3 linked regions of the Canis lupus familiaris genome follow. The protein of the gene in region 1 interacts with the protein of each later gene in a pairwise test. Links are inferred from orthologs where the notes say so. Each region holds a gene or a part of one and is shown on either strand. Other genes may lie near its edges.

The links. The genes of interacting proteins can lie anywhere in the genome.
Region 2: the proteins of TK1 (region 1) and UNC119 interact in a two-hybrid assay, tested with the Homo sapiens proteins (2 studies listed by BioGRID and IntAct). The link is inferred for Canis lupus familiaris from reciprocal best matches to the Homo sapiens genes TK1 and UNC119.
Region 3: the proteins of TK1 (region 1) and CRMP1 interact in a two-hybrid assay, tested with the Homo sapiens proteins (2 studies listed by BioGRID and IntAct). The link is inferred for Canis lupus familiaris from reciprocal best matches to the Homo sapiens genes TK1 and CRMP1.

The regions. Positions count from the first base shown.
Region 1 is NC_049230.1:3,864,610-3,868,809, reverse strand, and holds the start of TK1 (thymidine kinase, cytosolic), read right to left. Parts: upstream 2,801-4,200; 5' UTR 2,731-2,800; coding exon 2,665-2,730; intron 2,517-2,664; coding exon 2,485-2,516; intron 1,508-2,484; coding exon 1,397-1,507; intron 1-1,396. UniProt on the Homo sapiens protein: Cell-cycle-regulated enzyme of importance in nucleotide metabolism. Catalyzes the first enzymatic step in the salvage pathway converting thymidine into thymidine monophosphate.
Region 2 is NC_049230.1:42,729,470-42,733,678, reverse strand, and holds the start of UNC119 (protein unc-119 homolog A), read left to right. Parts: upstream 1-1,409; 5' UTR 1,410-1,485; coding exon 1,486-1,711; intron 1,712-4,209. UniProt on the Homo sapiens protein: Involved in synaptic functions in photoreceptor cells, the signal transduction in immune cells as a Src family kinase activator, endosome recycling, the uptake of bacteria and endocytosis, protein trafficking in sensory neurons and as lipid-binding chaperone with specificity for a diverse subset of myristoylated proteins.
Region 3 is NC_049224.1:71,649,435-71,653,474, reverse strand, and holds the start of CRMP1 (dihydropyrimidinase-related protein 1), read left to right. Parts: upstream 1-1,240; 5' UTR 1,241-1,246; coding exon 1,247-1,627; intron 1,628-2,741; exon of another isoform or gene 2,742-2,965; intron 2,966-3,052; exon of another isoform or gene 3,053-3,226; intron 3,227-4,040.

The DNA.
Region 1 (4,200 bases):
GATGCCAAGACCCTGGGATCACGATCTGAGCCAAAAGCAGACGTTTAACCAACTGAGCCATCCAGGTACCCCTGGGGGCTGGTACTTTCCAAAGGCTCAGCAGCCTGTAGCTGTATTTAGAAAAAATAAAATACAACCACTGCTCAGTTATTATCTTGCTATAAGTCTACTCCAAGATCTGGCAAGAGCAGGAGATGGTATTTCCTGCATTTTAAATTCCCCTTTCCCACCCCAAGCCAGAGAAAACCAGAGGGTGGGCAAGGGCAGCATCTCTGGAGCCCTGTCACTCCCGCCAAGGGCTGAGTCACAGCCATGGCCCGTCTCAGCTTCTGTGGCCCAAGTGAGAGGGCATGTGTGCGGCTCCGGCCAAGTTCAGACATGCCCCTGATCTGACTTATCACTGCGTAATGCGGCCTCCTCTGCTCGCACTGCCCTCCCTGGATGTGCCCCTGGCCAGTGCAGCAGAAGCAGACACATGTTTTAGGGAAGAAGTAACTGCAAGACCTAAATGACCTGCATAGGGCAGCACGGCAGAAAGCACCAGTCACTCACATCCTGATGCTTTAACTCCAATTCCTAGACACTATCCACCCACCACCCGCCCGGCTTCAGAAACCCCACATTCCCACCCCAAAGCCACACACGGGGCAGTCCTGAGGCTGCAAGCCCTCCCTGTGGCACAGCGTGGCTCTGCCGCTGGCGGCTCGGGCGGACAAGTCCAAAAGAGGTAACATCTCAGGCTCAGAAATCTGCAGCCAAGGAACAGGCAAGAGTAAAACTAAACTCAACCTCTCATTCCCGACCTCAGGTTGCAGACTGAAACGTGTGCAGGGCACAGGCAGATAAACACAAAACTGGGAAGCATGAAGGCCACAAGACAACAGAGTCAACCAAGATAAAACAACTGAAAAGCTAAATGAAAAGCAACATGCACGCTAAACAAAACCAGTTTGCAACAGCACAGATGTAAGCTCGGCACTATTGACCATCGGGGCAGGGTCAGTATTTGTTGTGGGGGCCGTCCTGTGCACTGGGAATTCAGGAGCATCCCTGGCCTCTCCCCACTGGATGCCCATAGCATGCCCTCCCCTACTCCAGCTGTGAAGACTACAGATGTCTCCAGACATTGCCAAATGGACTCTGAGGGAGCGAGAGGGGGAACAAAATCTCCCTTTGTGAAGAACACCGGGCCAGAACTCTGTGAGAGGCCAAGTCCTAAGATCCCTTGCCAAGCGACCTTGAGAGTTTGCTGAGTTGCACGTTTCCATGCCGCCCACCGGCATGGCTAACCAGTCCTGCTGAAGAGCGCTCTGACAGTATGGCCTATGCCCTTGCGCATTTTCACCAGGTTTCCGGAAGAAGTGCTGGGACAGGACAGGAGAGAACAGGGACTGACCGGTCATGCGTGGAGAAGCTGTTGCTGTACCGCGTGTCTTTGGCATACTTGATCACCAAGCACTTGTACTGGGCAATCTGGAAGCGACGGACCCTTCTCATCAGCTCGGTACTGCAAGAGCAGAGCACTAGGTGAGACCCAGGATGTTAAGGAAGTCCCCATTAGCACAAGTGGGGCTCCCCCCCCACCCCTGCTGGGGGTCTACAGCCTGAGACCCACCAATGGACAGAAAAACCAGAGAGGACAGAGGGTGGTGATGGCAAGGAACAGAGGTCAGGTGGTCTGGGGAGGGGGTGGGAGAATAAATGTCTCAGGGATCTGATGGGGTGAGTAGAGTCAAAGGCCTCCGACAGAGAAGAGGGGTCTGGATTGCATCCCCAAAGAGTCCCATCCCAGAGGTCTTCACATGGTCTGCATTGACTTCGCAGTCTTTTGTTGTTGTTGTTCAAGAAAAAAAAGCAGTTACCTCTGGGTCCCAGAGCCCACCCTGGCCTGACTGTGGTGGGCACCAGGTTTGCCCTGCAGTGACCCCCCCCAGGGCAGAGGGCGTCACTCAGGGGGCCGACTAGCCCTGCCTGGGTCAGGCCACCGTCCTGTCACATCAGGGGAGCAAAGGCATCCTGGCCTGACTCCTTAGTGTGTAAACTACTTAAGGAAACAAACACTAGGAAGGGAAGGAGGAGTGTGGATGCTGCAGGGTGCACAGGACCCAGCTCACCGAGGACACCATTTTAGAAGAATTAAAATTTTAAATTGAAAAAAAAAAAACCAAAACGAAACGAAAAGACTTGGCTGCTCCTTTCCAAGAGAGATTTAGTGGGAGGGTGGGGGGAGGGAGGACTACACCCTCAGCAGCCATAACCTGCTGCAGGGGGGCGACGTGGTGCCATGACCCCATGGAAGGGTCTGAACCCCGCGGGCAGGGAAGAGGCGCCCTCCTGCAGGACCGCATGGGGCGGGAACGCGTGCTCGGTCCGGGGGAGGGGTCGTCCTGCAGGGGGGCACTGAGAGGGGCAGCAGGGGAGGAGGACGGGCCCCCGGAAGGGAGGGGGGAGAAGGCCGTCCCCGCGAGGACATTACTTATTTACCTTTTTCCTGAGAACATGGGTCCTAGAATCACCTAGGAGAGAAGGAGAGGTCACTTCGGGGCCCGCTGCGCACGGACTGCAGGCCAGGGCCACAACCCCAACCCCAACCCCAACCCGCACCCGGGTCGCGACCCCGGCCCGCCACCCGCGCCCGCCGGGGTGCCACCCCCGCGCCGGCACCTGGATCTGCCCCCGGGTCTTGCTGGGGGAGCCGGGCAGCACGGTGGGCAGGTTGATGCAGCTCATGGCGCCTGCACGAAGCCCGCCGCTCGGGAGCCCTCGGGTGCCACCGCCCAGCAGCCTGACCCGGGTGCCCCCGCCGCCGGCCTTTATCCCGGGCGCGCTGGCCAATCGGGAGCCGGCGCGGGCGCCCCGCAGCCAATCAGCGCGCGGCCGCGGACTGGCGGGAGATTCGAGCGCGGCCCGCCCCTCGTGGGCGGCCCCGGGGACCCGGCGGGCTCGCGTCACCTGGACGGTCGGCCCCGCCCCGGCCGCCGCCTCTAAAGGGCCTCTAAAGGGCCGGGGCGCGCCCTCTGGCCGGCCGCGGCGGGATGGAGGGCCCGGCGCCCTGGAAGCGGCTGTCCAAGGAGGTAGGCGGGTTGCGCCGAGCGGGGCGCGCGGGGCCTAGAGGCCGTTCCCCTCGGGGAGGCGAGCTTAGAGACCCAGAGCCCAGCCCCCCAGGGCGCCGGCGGCCCCTGTGCGCCGCTCCCAAAGCCCTAGCGCCGGCATCTCCTTTGCTTCTGGCCACAGGCAGGCTTCGGGGCGCCTGGTCTTCAGGGTAGAGAAAACAGGCTGTGCTAATATCCATAAAGGAGGCACAGTCCCGACACTGAGGTCCCACAACGTGGATGGAGGATGTGCCGGGGTGAAGGATTCGGAAAGGCCGGCGTTCACCGCAGGACAGGCAAAGCACTTACTAGGGTTATCACTCAACTATGATTTCCTAACTAGTTTCCCTGCATTTCAGGCTGTATTTTGGGTTGGTTTGGGTTGGTTTATTTGTTTTCCGGTCACGGATACATGTGAGAATCTGATAAGTTATGCATTCTGCCCCCGCCCCCCCCCAAGAAAACCCCGTTCTCTCTGTGTCAGAAACCCATTGCATTATTGTTATTGTACATAACGACAGGGAAGATGACGGTAGCAGTGACAGCGTGTGCCGCTATGTGCCGCAGGCACAGATTGTACAGGATCTAAAGAACGCTGGTCAGGCACCTCGTTCAACGGGAGGGGGCCATAACCCACATTTGAATGGTTAGTTTTACTTCATTTACATGCTTTATGTCCTTCAACCTTGTGATGCTACTATTATGCCCATTATGTAGATGGGGCTGAGGCCCAGAGAGCATAAGTAAGCTGCCCAGGGTAAAACAGCCTGTAAGGGATAGAACATGGATGGCATTCAACCCATCTGACACCAGAGCCCAGGACCCTTCCATGAAGCCACCCCGTCTTAAAATTTCCCATTTTAGGCTTCACTCTTTCTCCTTGCCTTTGAGCTCTTTCTCCCAAACCTGGTTCCTTGCTACTCTCTGCATTAATTCTGTGTCTTAGCCTGACATCTGAGATCCTCTCCCCGTAGTCCCTCCTTCCACCTCACCTCTGTGTCTCGGTGGTCTGACTCACCAGCATTTCCAAACTGACCTTTGATTCCTCTCTCCTGACCTTTGTTTCTTTGCCGTGACTCCTGCAATCAGAATCCCGCCCTCTCATGGG
Region 2 (4,209 bases), about 39 Mb from region 1:
GTCTTATCTGGCTTGAAATTGAAGGCCCTCCCCTGTCTCCCTCCAGGGCAGGGACAGTTTGTTGTGCTTCTGTCCTGTTCCTTGCAGTCCTCTTGCACTCAGAGGGAGCATTAGGGGAAAGCCCTGGGTCAGATTCTAGCCCCTTCCCCTCCATGCTTCTCTCCAACCCCTCAGGGAGAACCTTAGCACTGCTCTCACGGAAGGGAGCAGGTCACCCCTGGGACCTTCTCCCTTCCTCCCCTCCCTCCTGGCTGGCTGTGCCTACTGGGTGTAGCCTGATGCTGCGCATGTGGCAGAGTTTCCCTTCACCCTTTTATAGAAGTAGTGTGGTGCAGTGGAGAAGGTTTCAGACTTGGGATCGAGCATGCCTGAATTCAGATGTTTCTGTACCTTCTGCACTTATCATCTGGGGAGCATTGGATAAGCCTCTTAATCTCCCTGAGCCTCAGTTTTTCACTTGTTAAAATAGCACCAATGATATCTCACAAGGTGGTTATGAGGATTAAATGTGATAAACATATGAAAGTGTCTGGCACATGGTAAGCTCTCAATAAACATTGGTTGACTGAATTGAAATGATATGAAGTATGAGCAAACCTTTCATTCTTCATTTGTGTCTAAGTAATGGTTTCCTAGTATCTGACCTGGACTCACAGGTCTACCTTGCTTCCACCTGGCCATGCGCCCTACAAGGAGGCTGTGCCTCTCTGCCCTGTGGGCCCTGTAGTGAAGTGCCTAGGCTGTTGTCCCTCAGCATGTCCAGGGTTTCACAACAAAGCTGTTAGCATATACTGCTTTTTTTCGCAGGAGGTCTGGAAGACAATAGCTTGTACCAGTGTAAGCCCTCAAATACTCATTCATAAACTCAGAAAAAGAATATGTTAAGCACAGGCTGCAGTAGCCACTGTGTTAAATGCTAGGTATTATAGAGAACAAAGACAGGATCTCTACTTTCATGGAACTGATCTTTTGGGGAAAGAGTCAGTGAACAAGTAAAATTAATTTCAGATAATGCATTAGAAGGAAAAAACAGGCTGATCAGACAGTGACTGAGGGGTAGTACTTTAGATTGGGTGTGAGGGGGGCCTTTGAGCAAATGACATTTGAACTGAGACCAGAAGAGGAAGCCATCTGGGGGAAGCACATCCCAGGCAAAGATCCTGAGGCGGGAACTTGCTTGAGGGGCAGACAGAAGGACAGAGTGGCGCGAGTAAGGAAGAGAGGTAGTGATCCCTTCAAGGACCTAGCAGGACCTAGCGGAAAAAATGAATGAAGCCCAAAGCGAGGCCCCACCCGGCCCCGGGGGAGTGGACCCAGGTTGGCGTTCGCAGGGGTGGGCGGGGCCCGTGCCTGGCCCACCCCCGGGGGCGGGGCGGTACCTGGGGCCCTGGCCGGGGGCGGGGCTGCGGACGCTCCCCCTTCTCTCGGCTCCAGCCGGCGCAGGCAGCTGCCGCGGCAGCAAGCGAGCGGTGGCCCCGCGAGGCCATGAAGGTGAAAAAGGGCGGCGGTGGGGCTGGGACGGGGGCGGAGCCCGCTTCTGGGGCCCCTGGCCCGAGCGTGGAGCCCAAGCCCGAGCCGCAGCTGCAGGCGGAATCCGAGTCCGGGTCCGAGTCAGAGCCGGAGGCTGGCCCGGGGCCCAGGCCGGGGCCGCTGCAGAGGAAGCAGCGGATCGGGCCAGAGGACGTGCTGGGGCTGCAGCGGATCACGGGCGGTGAGCACTGGCGAGGCAGCGCCGCCCGCGGCGGGAGGGCGGGAGGGAGAGCGCGCGGGAGGGGGCACTCGCTGTGCGCCGTGCGCTGAGCCTGGGCCCCCGCCCCCTTTCCCGCCCTACCCCCCACTCCCGCCTCCCCTCCCCCACCCGGGTACCCCTCGCTTGAATCCCCTACCCTTCTGCCTTCCAGCCTGAGATCTCCTTGTACCCGCCTTTTCTCCCTTTAGATATTTATTTTCACCCTACTCCTATCTTTCTGAGGAGGCCATCCCCCTTTCCCATGGTGGAGGTGAGGCAGCAGCTGCAACTGTGACCCCTTCCTCATAGAGTCTTCCGAGCCCTTTGAGGCTTTTCTCTGCAATAATGAGGATGGATGCTGAGTGTATTCTGTCCTCAGTCCTCACCCTGGAGGCTAGGAGGAGGCTGAGCTACTTAGGTGACCTTAAGACCCTCCAGTCGCCCTGATCATTAAATGCCGTCACTCCAGATTACCCAGAGAGTCTGGGGCCATCCTCCAACCCCAGGAAAGGACTGGGCAGGAAACCTCAGTGGGTTGGCTCTGGGCCCTCTCAAGGGAGTAGGTTAATGCCCTCCATCCCCCTTAACCTGTCTTCTTCCGGGAGGCCTAGTCTCCCACTGTGGTTAAGTTTCTGAGCTGAACTGCCTGGGTTGAAGTCCCAGCTATGCCATGTAATTGGCAGTGTGACCTTGGGTGAGTAATTTCACCTCTGAGCATGTTCATCTGTAAAATGGGGGATAATGGCACCTATTATATAGGGCTGTTGTGAAAACTAATTTTCCGATTTTGCATAGTGCCTCGCATGCTGTGCATGCTCTGTAAATAGGGCTCTTTTGTCAATAGTACTGAAGGCCCCACAGGACTGCTTATGGCTGCTGCCTGGAGGCAGATAACTGGGCATTCAGGACAAGGGAGGAGGTTGCCAGGCAGAGAACAAGGGCTACGAAGCCTCATGGCAGAGGCAGTGGCTGAGCCTCAAAAACAGGCATTTGGAGAGAGAGTGGTCCTCCAATGTAGTTTCATTTATCAGAATCCTGCACTGGCCCCTCTGTGAGAGCACTGTTGAGACCCCTCTTTGGTGGAAGGGGGCAGGTGCTGGAGCAGACCTGAGCTCTGGAGCTGCAGGAGCAGCAGAGCCCAAGGCTGCCAGACAGCAGTGGAGGGGACTGTAATGGCAGGTCTAGGCCTGTGCATCTGGGTCCCTGGGGGACCAGCTTCTCCTCTCTGAGCCAGGCAGCAGCCATTCTTGGCGGGGCCCCCAGAACACTGAACTGCCTCGCCCAAGCAGACACTAGTAGAGGGAGGGGTCCTGGACCAGTTTGATGGTAGTGCCAATTGAGCTATAACTGGCAATGGCAGCATTTAGAATGAGGGCAGAACTTATAGGATGTTTAGAGGTCAAGCTGACCTGTCTGGGTCTTAGGTAACTTTAGAGACTATTTTGTAACTGTAGGGGCTTCCAGCCCATGTACTGCCATGTGTCTCCTAATTTGGAGGAAATCCGTAGTCCTTAGAGATGGGGCATCTGTGGGAGATGAGTGGGGGAAGGGGCTTCATGGGAACCTTTCCTCTATAGAAGCTGAGACCTGGGTTCCAGGGATCTCCATCCTGGCACCCCCTGGTCTCTTTTGACCCTAATCACACAGGTCTGAGGTTTGTTCTTCCTGGATTACCAGCCCTGAATCCAGCTTAGGAAGCTATTTGTAGCAGAGGGAAGGGGCGGGGGGGGGGGGGGGGCAGTTTTGTTCTGAGCCTTAAGCCACTCTGTCCCTTTATCTGCCCTGACCCCGGGCAGGCTTCATCCTTCCCTTGGCAGAAGGGAGGGTGTGGGTGTGGCATTCTGAGCAATGGGCATCCCACTTCCCTCACTTCTTCTAAGGACAAAAGGGCTGCTTATTCAAGGTGTAGTAGAAGAGACTGAGGGCGGACTCTAAGCACTCATTCCTGCATGACAGGAGAGGCTCCCAAAGCGAGAATGTGGAGAGGGAAGGGCTTTCCAGGGAGCTGGAGTCTGCTCCTTGTGCCCTGCACCTTCTCTCTACATCTTGGGACTAGTGCATACATTCTGTGAAAATAAGGTGTGTACAGGGTGAGGTCAGGGCTGCCCACATGTGTTCCTCTTCCTCTCTCCCCACTGTGGATTGTGGTGGACAGGCCAGAGATCAGGCCCTTCCCCAAGCCCTGCTGGACCTTAGGGTGCCAGGAGGCTCCCGGGAGGGCTTCCTGGAGGGGGCTGCCCCAAGCTTAGGGAAGAGAGAGTGACCTTACATTCACTTCCTCTTCCTGCCCCAGAGGAATAGGAGGTGGCCTAGGGGCCTGGTGGGTGATTTCCGGGCCTCTATGGGGAGGATGTGATGCTGTGCAGGCTGATAGCACCAGACCCAACAGTGTTTCTTTCTGTTTGTTGCCAAGACCTCCCTGAGCACTTGTAGTTGCTGGTGCAGAAGTGAGGGGTGGATCAGGCCCTGATATTCCTAAG
Region 3 (4,040 bases), on another chromosome or scaffold:
GTGACTGACAAGTGTGTACCTATGTGTTCATCTGTCTCTGTGTGTTTTTCTCTGGAGTGTTCCTATTTAAGCTTCAGACTCTCCTGATTTCTGGTGTGCATTTCCACGTGGGTATCCTGACTGGGTTTGCCAGTGCATCTGCGTGGAGTCACCCTGTGAGTTTACCTTTGATAGGAGTGTGTGACAATCTCTCTGTTGCGTGAGTGTTGTAGGAGCAAGCACGGTGTGTGTGTGTGTGTGTGTGTGTGTGTGTGTCATTCGTTGGCGTGCAGGGGTGTATTTCTCTTGTCTGCCTGAGTGACTGTGGTCCTGGCATGTCCCTCTTGCCTTGCTGTCTCATCTTTCCCAGCACTCAGCACGCCGGGTACATCATACATGTGTTTGTTTCCTCCCTCCTCAGAATGTCAGCTCCCGGAGGGCAGGACTTGGTGTTATTTTGTTCACAGCACTGTCCCCAGTACCCACAGCGTGCTGGGCACCAGCGGGCGCTCAATATAACACTGTTGACTGAATGGTTGCTGCGTGCAACGTGTGAGTGTTTCTCCGGTTGTGCGATTAATTTCGGTGTGATGCTGGATTGGTGGGGTTGGGGGGACTATGAGAACTTCTGGCGTGGGTGTGTGTAATTGGCTCATAATACATACAAGCTTGTACGTGTGTGCAAAAGTGTCTACCATGTGACTGAATGAGCCTGCGTGTGCCTGGGAAGCCTGAGTGTAATCGACTCCCGTGTGCGTGTGTGCGCGCGCGCTAGCGTGTTGGTGCATTTCTCACGTGTGTTATGGCGTACTTGTCTGGCGTGCTGGTGCGAACCTGTGCGTGCCTGGGGGTGTGTGTGTGTGCGTGTGCACACTCGAGGCTCGCACTCCTCGCCCTCCGCGCGCCCCGCGCTCGGGCTGGGGGCGGGGAGCGGGGGTGTGGCCAGGGCACTGCGGCTCGGCTGCCCGCCCCCGGCGCTGCGGCTCCGGCGCGTCACCGGCCCGCCCCGCCCCGCCCCCGCCGCCCGCCCCGCCCCCCGGCCCTTTGTAGCCGGCCGCCCCGCGCGCTCGCCGCCGCCCGGAGGCCCCGCCCCGCCCCGCCCCGCCCCGCGCCCCGCCCCGCCCCGCCCCGCCCGCCCCGCCCCTCCCCGGGCCGCAGTCGCCGGGGCCGCCGCGGGCCCGCAGCGAGCGGGGAGCGCGGCGCACGGCGGTGGCCAGGGCGGCGGGCGGCGGGCGGGCGGCGGGCGGGCGGGCGGCCTCGCAGCGGCATGGCGGACCGGCGGCGCGCGTGGAACACGGAGGACGACCTGCCCGTGTACCTGGCGCGGCCGGGCAGCGCGGCGCAGACGCCTCGCCAGAAGTACGGCGGCATGTTCGCGGCGGTGGAGGGAGCCTACGAGAACAAGACCATCGACTTCGACGCCTACAGCGTGGGCCGCCGCGGCTCGGCGCGCACGCCTCGCAGCGCTGGCCGGCCCGACGCCGTGGGGCTGCCGGGGCCCGGCGGCAGCGAGGACACGGCCAGCGACGGGAGCGAGCTCTCGGGCTCGGCAGTCAGCTCGCCGGGCGAGCGCGAGGAGCGACCGCCCGCGCTGCGCATCCGTTGCCCCGCGCCCCGCGACCTGCCGCTCGGCCGGGACAATGGCCAGGTACCCTCAGGGCGCGCGCCGACCGGCGGGGGGGGGGGGGGGCGGGACCCTCGGGGACGCCCGGGCCGCTGCCCTCGGGCTCGAGAGGGCCGCGGAAGGCCCCTCCCCCGCTCCATCCCACTGGAGGGCCCGAGCGGGGCTACCATTTGGTCGGGGTTGGTCAGCCCAGCCCGGGAGACTCCAAAGGGTCCTTCGCGATCCAGCCCCCTGCTGCTCTTCTGCAGAAAGGGGGAGCAAGGCTCTGAGCAGGAAAGTAAGTTGGCTACAGCTGCCACATGGACCCTTCAAAGCGAGGGGACCTCTGGGGTGAAGTTTAATCCAAGGAGCCCCGTTCTTTGCCTTTTGAAAAGAAGGGGAACTGCTTTCCGCATTAGTCCATTCATTTATTCACTCACTCATTAGTGATTATAGAGCCCCTACGGTGTACCAGGCTCTGGAAAAGGTTCAGTGAACCGCCTGTGGTCACACAGGTTAATGCTCAAAGAAGCCTTTCCTGTGTGCTCCCTCTGTGCTTTCTGGGGGGAAAGATTTGCTTAAAGATTTGGATGGGTCGGGCACATAGAACTAGAAACTGCTATCCCCAGGCACCGACATTTTCAGGGGATGCTGCTGAGTCGCCCAGCACGACGCCAGTGGGCTCCCTTCACAGAGCAAGTTGGAGGCAGAGCGGAGACTTGAACCCGGCTCTCCAGCTTCCTAGACTTGGAGGTTTTTACCCTCCGAAAGTGAAGGGGCGTCAGAGAGAGGGAATGCCAGGCCGTGGGCCCTATGGCTCTTCTCCCTTAAGCTAGAGGTCGCCAGGGAATTGGACGAAGATGGATGGGTAGACAGCACAGCTTTGGGATGTGTGCGTAAGGGTCGGGGTCAGATGCTAGAACAACGGAAGTTGGAGCACTTGAGGACCAGCGAGCTGTCAGCTTAGCCCAGAACTCGAAGTCTGAGCACTGCTCAGGTCCCAGCTCCCCCCCTCCCCCCAGTACATGCTGGGGTCCCGACTCAGCACACTGGCCCCACCCCAGGCCAGGGTGGGCGATAGATTCATGGTGAGAATCAAATCAGTTAATGCCGGTACTCAGTGAGCAATAAATGTTCGTTGTTGGATTTTACTATCATTTTTTATTGCCCCTTCTCCCCTTAAATACTATGAGAGGCATAAAGTGAGCGGGAGGAAGCAGAGCTCGATCCAGACGGAAATCTGGGAGGGCTTCCTGGAGGAGTGGGGGCTGGGCCGGCCTGCGGCTGCTTGGACGCAGTACGGGATCTCCTGCTCCCATCCTCGGGCTCTCGGCCTTCCGCCCCCGGAGCTCGGGAACTCTCCGTGGTCCTGAAGTCGGCGCCCTGAGAGGGGGAGGTCTACACTGATGGCGGTGGGGGTGGGGGGAGGTCAAGGGAGGGGGCTATCGGGAGTCATCTCCTTGTCCCTACCCCTTCTTATTCTCCCTGACCACTTGCTTCCCTCGTGGTCGACCCTGTTTGGGGTTCAGGCTTCTGAGCGCGAGCGGGAGACTTCAGGGCTGCGGATCCAGATGCCCGGGTCGGTACCGGTAACCCCTGTTTCCAGCCGAGGCCCTTTGCCCTCTTGAACCTCAGCTTCTCCACCTGTGAAATGGGGATGGCATTTTCCTCCCAGCCACCCACAAGGCGTGGTGGAGGATCAGGGAGGCGAGAGCGCTTTGTGCACGTCGGGAAGCTGTCTGGAAGTGCGTCCCTGCCGGAGCTACGGCCAGCGGCCCCGGAGCCAGCATCGCCCCCGGCTCTGCCTGCGACGGCTCCGCAGCCGCGCCTAGGCACTTGGGGGCGGTGGTCGCTTCACCTCTTCCACTCTTCCCTCTCCCCTTCTGGCCCTCTCTTCCCTTTCTCCATGGCTTCCCGGGGACTGGACAAAAGGCGGCGCCTGCGGCGCGCCTAGGGCTCCGGAAGCTCTGGAGGTTTGGGACTGCGGACACGAGGGGCTCACGGTCTCCCAAGGGGAAGCCTTTTACTTTCTGCGGACCAAGCGGCCACGGGGCTCGGGTTCCGGGGCGGGCTTCGCGGCTCCAGAGCTTTGCAGAGGGCACGGGGCGGGGGGTGGGGTGGGGGCGGGAGCGGGGGTCCTCCCCCCGCCCAGAAAGCTCTCTCCCGGTGAGGGAGGAGGAGTTTCTGCGGCGCAGGCGCAGCCTTTGCTGAGGCCGGAGGCCCCGCGACTGCGGCGCTTTGTACCCGGGAAGTCTGCATGGGAGCAGCGATCTGTGTGGCCAATCGCGGGCCGGTGCCCCTCCCCCGATACGCACGTGGTCTCGTCCCCAGCTCTGGAGCTTTCCTGCCCAGACTGACCCCCGGGGACGTCCTGGTGCGGAACCCAGGACTTAACCACGCTGAGGAAGGGAATGGGGGCGGCATGGGACCCGAGACTGGCAAATTCCGGTCATCAACG